Linked DNA regions of Rattus norvegicus. The protein of the gene in region 1 interacts with the protein of each later gene in a biochemical or structural test. Links are inferred from orthologs where the notes say so. Each region holds a gene or a part of one and is shown in the gene's direction. Other genes may lie near its edges.

Evidence for each region.
Region 2: the proteins of Kbtbd8 (region 1) and Tcof1 form a complex in vitro, tested with the Homo sapiens proteins (2 studies listed by BioGRID, with this or other methods). The link is inferred for Rattus norvegicus from reciprocal best matches to the Homo sapiens genes KBTBD8 and TCOF1.

What each region holds. Positions count from the first base shown.
Region 1 is NC_086022.1:129,231,662-129,235,774, forward strand, and holds the start of Kbtbd8 (kelch repeat and BTB domain-containing protein 8), read left to right. Parts: upstream 1-1,302; 5' UTR 1,303-1,341; coding exon 1,342-1,357; exon of another isoform or gene 1,358-1,432; intron 1,433-1,886; coding exon 1,887-2,097; intron 2,098-4,113. UniProt on the Homo sapiens protein: Substrate-specific adapter of a BCR (BTB-CUL3-RBX1) E3 ubiquitin ligase complex that acts as a regulator of neural crest specification.
Region 2 is NC_086036.1:56,567,924-56,572,154, reverse strand, and holds the start of Tcof1 (treacle protein), read left to right. Parts: upstream 1-1,427; 5' UTR 1,428-1,553; coding exon 1,554-1,661; intron 1,662-4,231.

The sequences.
Region 1 (4,113 bases):
AGAGACCATGCTTCACTGAATAAGGTAGAGAAGCAATGTTGTAGGATTTCCATCACCAATCTCCAGCCTCCATGTGCACCTGAACTGCCCCCCAAAAAGTACATCCACGCACTCATGCACGCACACACGCATATGCACACGCACATGCACGCGCGCTTATACACAAACACAAAATGGAAGAAAAACAATAAGTCAACAATAAAAACCCTGCTTTCTTGTAAAAAAAACAAAAACAAAAAAAAAAAAAAAACAAAACTATAAAGTAGACTGAATGCCGAATGTGGATTGGCGGCTGTTATACCTTAAGTTCAAGGGCTGGAAGAGCTTGTGCAAGAGCCAGAACTTGAGCATGGTCCAGAGGAGCGCCCAGGCTCAGCCTCTCTCCTACATCTCTTCACAAGAAAGCCAGAGGCCCTCTTCACAGTCAAGAAGCCCAGCGGAAATCAATCATCTAAGTCTCCCTCTAGTACCCGCTACTCTTTAGTGTGACAGGTGTTTTCTGGGTATGCTACAAATGCAAGCCAAGTGGATTCAGGTGCTGAGTGGCCGTGTAACTAGACCCCGGTTCATCTGTGGAAAGCAGGGCATGCGGCTCAGGCGATGCAATTTCAAGTGGGCGTCACAGGTGACTCATCAGAGGCCTACCGATATTTTCGAGGTGTGTGTGTGTGTGTGTGCGCGTGTGTGTGTGCGTGCGTGCGTGCGTGCGTGCGTGCGTGTGTGTGTGTGTGTGTGTGTGTGTGTGTGTGTCGGGGTCGGGGGTGCTTAGATCCTTTGATTTTTGGATAACAGCCTTCCTGACCATTTCCAACTTTTCCGGGTTTCATAGCCCTCGTGCAGAGCGCGTTTTCATACAGGAATCTAGTCCGGGATAGGGAATTAGGGGTATGAAGAAAATTATTTTTAAAACGGAGTCGAGACTAGGAGAGAGGCCTTAGCCAGGGAATTTTGCTCTATAAGAGCTTTTCCTACTTCATGTCTCAGAGTGACAGCTCATCTTAGCCAGTGGACTACATTTCCCAGCGGGTGCTGCGCATCTCACAAGCACAGGCTGGCGGGCTCGGGACTCTCCTCTGCCCAGCTAGCCAATAGAAATGCTCGGCTTGGTCCTCTGCCCGACAAGGAGCACGCGGGAACGGGGGCCTTAAAACTACATTTCCCGACACGCCGGTACAAGAATACTGACCAATCAGATTCAGGTATTTTGAGGCTCGGGGAGGAGCCGGCTTGGTCAGCCACACTCATTGGTTAGGCGGCCCTTAGTAGAGCCGGAACCCGGGAGCAAGCTAAACGCAATGACATTTCCTCTTTAAATAACCGGAGCCGGGGCCCCTTGGAGAAATGGCCGCGTCGGCAGGTGGGTGGCGTGGTACGGCCGCTGGTAGTGTCGGAGCAGGAGCGCGGGCGCGGGCCACGACCTGAAGAGGCGGCCGTAAGGCGGGAGGGAAGGATGGAGAGGCGGCGGGCGAGGAGGCGAGGATGAATGGGGAGGAGGGTGGTGGGCGGCGCGCCCGCGGAGATCGGGTGTCTGGGTACCGGCCGCCCGCGAGGCGGTTGAGGGGTGCCCTGGCAGTCGCCCTCGGTCGCGCTGCCCTCGGGAGGCTCCCGCCCCGCGCTCGGCCCGGAGCCGAGTCCCCGCGCACAGCCGCCGGCTCGGCTGGCTCGCCTCACACGCTCCCTCTGCGAGCGCGGCGGTCCGGGCTCGCCGGGCTCCCAAGGAGCGCTCCGGCCTGGGAACTTGTTCGCCCTTGTTGAGCTTTCGGCTCCCAGAGCCTATGTCGGCGGTCCTGTGCCTACACACGGGCATTTGTGTAAGGGTTGGTGGGGGGGGGGGAACCCCATAAACTGGCTTCGAACTTCTTGTGGTTGTGCGATTTTTCTCCTAGATTTAAGTAAGTCTTCCCCAACACCGAATGGGATTCCATCTTCAGACACAGCCAACGATACCATGGACCCTTTCCATGCTTGCAGTATTCTTAAGCAACTCAAAACAATGTACGATGAAGGACAGTTGACAGACATTGTAGTGGAAGTGGATCACGGGAAAACATTTTCCTGTCATAGAAACGTTCTTGCTGCAATCAGCCCGTACTTCAGGTATGACGACGGTAGAAACTTCTATTACTATCCGGACGGGAATCCCTTTCATCCCCAGTATTGCCCACTTAGTTGTGATACTGAGTTGGGGCAAATAAATGAAGGCAAGCAATGCGTTTATTTCCTGAGAGTAGATAACAGGGCTTGTTTTATTAATGAGCTCTTGTTTTGAGGTGGGATCCTAGAATTCAGATAGTTGGAGTTTTAGTGGACTTGGGAGGTGTTCCCAATATGGATGCTGCCGGTCACGTGAAAAAAATTAAAATGCTTTAAAATTAAATTCACCTATACTAAAACATGGCACCTGTACAGACAGCTACATGTGGCTGGTGACTGCTATACTGGTCAACGTGGATATACAGTGTTTCAATCACTGGGTCATTAGAGAACGATCTAGAATTTTAAATATCTGTGATGTGGTTTTTTTTTTCCGTTTGGTTTTTAGTACATAAAACTTTTTTTTTTTTTTTAGAGTTTAAAACATAGGAACGTGTTACTTTACAAGTAAACTAGGAATTTAGATTATTTTAATGCCATGGAGTTTTGTAAAAAGTAGTGAAATAAAATAAAGGTTAGTTATGTCTTTCCAGGATCCCCAGAAATAAATAGTTCATGCTTCCTTCACTCTTTTGTTCTATTTACTTTTACCATAAAATACTGAAAAGTGAAAGTTTTGGGTCTGAAAACTAAGTTCTCATTTAAGAACAGATGATTGGAATAGGTTTTGTTTCAGGTGCTCGTTTCTAAAAGCCCTTCAGCATACAAAAGTGGTTTGTGAATGATAGGAAGACTATCTAGTCAGCCATACTCTTGCGTTATCTCTTGGGGTGCTTATAAGGCAGGCATCCTACAGTCACATGTGAACAATTCTCCACTCCCACCCACCCCCACAGACACCTTTGAAGGTCCCACATACATAGGGTTTTTTTTTCCCTTAAGATTTTATTCTTTTTATTTATGTACATATGTGTGGGGGTGGTCCCTCTTTCTCAGAATGCTGGGGTGGATACAGTTAACATCAGTTCTGATACTTAAAACCTATTAGACTTGCCTTGGGTAGGTCACTGATTATTACAGGATAGAAAGCCAGAAAAAAAAAAAAAACATACAGAACCACTGCTGCTAGTCTTGTGTGCCTTTGAATATATGGCAGAGTTGCTCCTTATCAAACTCTGAATGAAGCTTGCTTGATATGTCTTGTCTTCTATAATCTTAATAAACTTATCTCTATACAGTTAATTTCCATTTGCATATGGAAAAATCCAGATGAGTGATACCTAAGTCATTCAAATGGCAGAACTATATTCTAAAATTAGACTTATTGTGTGACACTTAATGGAATGGGTCAAGTGGGTCTCCAGGTTTCTGATATTTAAAAAAAATGAAACAAAACTATATTCTCTTTGAATAGTAAAAAAAACATAAATAAATTGAGACTTCAAAGTAAACATCTCATTGAAACCTTATTCTCTAGAGGATACCATTATAAATGTCATGGATAATTAAAATTCGATTTGAATGCCTACATAAAAGAACTATAGTTACAGTAGATTTTAGTTTCTAACAGATCTTTAAAAAATGGTTTGAAATACCATTCACATAAAGATGTTGCTAAAGGACTGAAAAACTAAGTTCTCCTTTCTGCACAAAAGTTTCTTGGCTTCCCTGATGTGGGAATCGCAGAAATCATACTTAATTTTCAAGCCTTGCATTGCAGGGGAAAGACTCAGAACAGCTGGAAATTTGATGTGGCTGCTTCCTGATCTACTATGTGTTAAAATTAGAACTGAGAAGTTTTTGTTACTTGGGATTTTGTGCAAGGAAGTACTCCCAATGTATCAAGTGCATGAAGAACCCGTTAGGGAACTCGTCAAGGTATCAGACTGCTGCCCTGTTGTTAGCCTAGCCTGCTGAAGGCAGTAGTGGCCCCATGGTAAAGGGACATGAGATGATGTTCTCTCTTGGGAACCAGTCTGTACCTAAGCAAGGGCTACAGTTTTCTTTTTAATTGATAGC
Region 2 (4,231 bases), on another chromosome or scaffold:
AAGAAACAAAGCCAAAATTTAAATCTAGATAGTGTGACTTCAGTGTACTTTTCAAACACCATGCCGTTCCACAGGAAAAGGTTATTCCATCCTTTGATGTATGCCACGGCTGTTCATTTAACACTCGGCCCTCTCGTTAGCCTGGGAAGCGCTGCGGGCGTACAGACCGTGTGGTCTCCAGTAGTAGGCATTCAATACAAATCTGCCTGATGTCTGAATGTAGATTAGTCTCCCGTGTCCTCACACAGCACATGCCACCTGCTCCTGTCACCTGGTCCTGTGTGCTTCTCCCTAGAATGTGAATGTCACTTTTCTTGTCCCTGTGGCCAGATATCACAAGAAGCAACTTACATTAGAAAGATTAACTATGGCTCACAGTTCACAGGCCATGACAGAAGGAAAGATAGGATGGCAGGAATATTGGTTACGCATCAGCAGGCCAGGAAACAGTGAAAGAAGAATGCAGGCACTCCCTACTCAGACACACCCACAGGAGTAGCTCTTAGGTAATTCTAAAGTCCAGTCACCACTAAGGATTTAATTATCATATGTGCTTATGTGGGTCCTAAACTTCAGTGGACATGTGTGTTGACCCAAATTCGTAGTGAAAGCTGTCAGCATATTCCCAACCAGTCCTTGAGGAACAGGTGCCTCAAATAGTCCCAGGCCACTCCCATTCTCTCCTGGTCACTGTACCCCTCAATAAACACAGTAGCCTACATCGGGATTTTTTTTTCTATATTTTGGACTTTCATCTTTCCAACTGTACAGCCTAGCAGTACAGGGTTGTTTGGGGTTCCCTTACCAAATACCAAAGTAATTTTCACATTCTGACTCATAGAGCACCTCCAGCCTGGCCTCTCCACAGTGCTTAAACGTCTCTGCTGTCTTTGAGGCTAATTTTAAATGTCTCTTGGGGGATAGGTGCCCTTCCTCCATGCTTCCCTGAGCTCTGTCTTCTCTCAACAAAGTGCACCAGACATCTGAACTGTAACTGCTAGGTTGTCTGCTGTGTCTCCCACCTGGGTGATTTTTGAGTCAACTGCTTGCTTTGTTTCTCTTTATATGCCCCAAGCCTAGCTAGGTGCTGTCCTAGCTCAGGTAAGGGTTTGTTTAGAGATTCAATACACCAGTGACAACTCAAGCCTTATTCGTGGGACCTAAACACTGTGAAATAAGTAATCGGAAGCAGGGGCCAGTAATCAGGAAGTTCAAAAATGAATAAAGGCGCCACAGGCATCAAATCTTTTCAAAGTGTAAATCAGAATTTAGATGCAGGAGACCTTTTTTTCTTTTTTTAAAATCATGGCCGCCCAGAGGGCGGATCCAGATCAGGACACGCCTTCGAGCCAATGGCAGAGCTGGTTAACCTCCATGGCTCAGCCCTCTTGGACCGGATAGCCCATTCCAGCGGCAAGACTACATTTCCCAGCGCGCCGCGCGGCCCGGTGACGCGAGGCCGGAAGTGAGGGACATGAGGTTCTAGGGCGCGAGGGAAGCGGCTAGCGGGGGCGAGGGGGCGTGCACGTGAATAGCCTGGCCGGATCTCTGGCATGGCCGAGGCCAGGAAGCGGCGGGAGCTGCTTCCCCTTATTTACCATCATCTGTTGCAAGCAGGCTACGTCCGCGCGGCGCGGGAAGTTAAGGAGCAGAGCGGCCAGGTAAGCGTCAGACGGCCCAGTGCAAGATCAAGGGAGCCAGTAGCCCGCGCCCCTCCCGGGAAACCCAACCAGCGCGAGTCAGAGATGTCGGCCAGGGAGCAGGAGGAACATTAAACTCTGCTCTACTCCGTGCGACTTACAGCCACCTCCCAGGCTCAGTTTCCCCATGGGTGCAGTGGGCGGGCCGGAAACTGATCCGACTAGCGCAGCTTTGTAATTCCCGCCCGGGTTCCCGGTAGCGGCAGGTTTACGTTTCCCTAGGATCTTGCCACGTGGCTCTATGTAGTTTCCCTGGGACATCACCTGGAAGTCCAGCTGGAGCAGATTGTCACCACTGTTGTTGGGAACACCGAGACGAAGGTCCCCTTAGTTGATGATCTAGCATGCAGGGCGTGCAGGCCCTTGGCTGTCTTCGGTTATGACAAGACTCGAACCCGTGGTGCACTAACTTCAAAGTTCATTCATTTGGCAACTTTTATTTGGCACTGAGGTGCAGATGATGAAATGGGGCCCCTCTGCCCGCCTCACAGCCTAGTAGATAGTACAAAAGAAACACAAAAGTGACTGTATAGTTAACTTTGTATTAAGCTGTAGAGCAAGAGATTCGAGGTGCGGAAACGTGGGTGGAAGAACCTGGGCGGGGAATATCCAGGACTGCTTCCCTGAGGATGTAGTAGTTGATCTGAGATCTAGAGGGAGATGGGTATTTAGATGCCAGGTTGGAGTGGGACTTCCAAGTGTCCTAGCCTCCAGAAAGTTTGCTGAGCCTGAAGTTTGAAATGCTTGACTATGGAGTCTCCCAAAAAGATAGAGGCAAAGCCGATAGGCAGGAATGGCCTATGGGTTGTCTTCCCAGAAGAACTGTGGTAACTGGTGAACTGGATATTGACCTGGAGGACCCCAGGTGTGGTGGCATCTGCCTTTAAAATCCCATCACTCCAGAGATTGAGGCAGGCGGATCTCTTGAATTCAGAGATAGCCTGGTCTACAAAGTGAGTTTAAGACCAGCCAAGGGCTGCATGGTGAGATCCTGTCTCAGAGAGAGACAGAGAGACAAAGAGAGCTTAAGCTGGAGTGGGGTGGGAGGGGTGGGGCACCCTGGTTTGACCTGTGCCTTTAATCCCAACACTCTGGAGGCCAAGGAGGGTTGGTTTCTGTGAGTTCAAGGCCAGCCTATTAAGTTCCAGGACAGCCCAGGCTACACAGAGAACCTCTGTTTTGAAAAACAAGTGAGTTCAAGGCCAGCCTAATAAGTTCCAGGACTGCCCAGGCTACACAGAGAACCTCTGTTTTGAAAAACAAAACAAAACAAACAAACAAACAAACAAACAAAAAAACGAACTTAAAGCCCAAAGGTTGCTGGGCCCTTAAGATGCTACCTATTGCTTTCTTAACCTTCCTGGAACTCCATGTCCATCCCTACTCAAACTATATAACTGGAAGCAGGGTATAGAGCCTATCACGTGGTTTGTGTGCCCAAGCAAGAGTGCCCTGCTCTCACAGAGAAGACACAAATACACACACACACACACACACACACACAGAGTTTGTGGCTAGCATGTTGTGGCAGGTGCTGACCATTATGAGGCTAACAAGTGGGATTCAGAGTATCAGCCTCCAGTTATAGCTAAGATGGTCAGAGAAGCTTTAATGGGGACCATGACCTTGGAGTAGAGACTAGAAGGAAATGAGAATAGGCTGTGTGGTTGGCAAGAGAGAGAAAGTTTCAGGGGCAAGAATGGCAAAGCCCTATTGGGAGCCAGTGGCCCGACTTACTTTGTTATGACACTAGGGTAGGGGCAGAATGAAGCTGACTGACTGGACTGTGCCCTTCAGACATGACAAGTTTTCTCTGTGTAGCCTTGGCTGTCCTGGAACTCTCTATAGACTAGGCTGGCCTTGAACTCAGAGATCTGCCTGCCTCCATCTCCTGGAGCAAAGGAGATACTCTGCATTTCCCTCTCACATTTATTGTTCTGTGAAGAAGGATCCTGAAGTTTGCAGAGAGAGAAGATGAACTGAGTCATGGAATAGGTGCTCTCCCTGACTCATGTTTAGGGGCTAGTACGTTCTTCCTTTGCACATAGCTCTTTGGAGTCCATTGGAGCTGTTCGGTCTTATGCACATAGAGTGCGTCCTCAGCTTAGGCCTGGATTCTACCTGTTTCCCTCTGTTTTAACTGCAACCCTAGCACCCTTTAGGCTCAGTCTCTTTCCAGACGTCCAGTGGATTCCACTGTGTCATGTGGAAGTTTTCAGGGTTTGGGCTATCTTATGTTTTGGAGTAGATTGACTAGCCAGGCCTTGGAAAACCATCCAGGGAGGTTAGGAAAGGAAAGCTCTGTCGTATGGCTTCCATCCCTGGACTGAGGTAGGGATGCTGGGTAATGCTAGTTCAATGCCTACCCCTCCCTCTCTCTCTCTCTCTCTCTCTCTCTCTCTCTCTCTCTCTTTTTTTAAGCTGGGGACCGAACCCAGGGCCTTGCACTTGCTAGGCAAGTGCTCTACCACTGAGCTAAATCCCCAACCCCAGTGCCTACTTCTCAAAGGTGCTTCTTACTGATATATCAT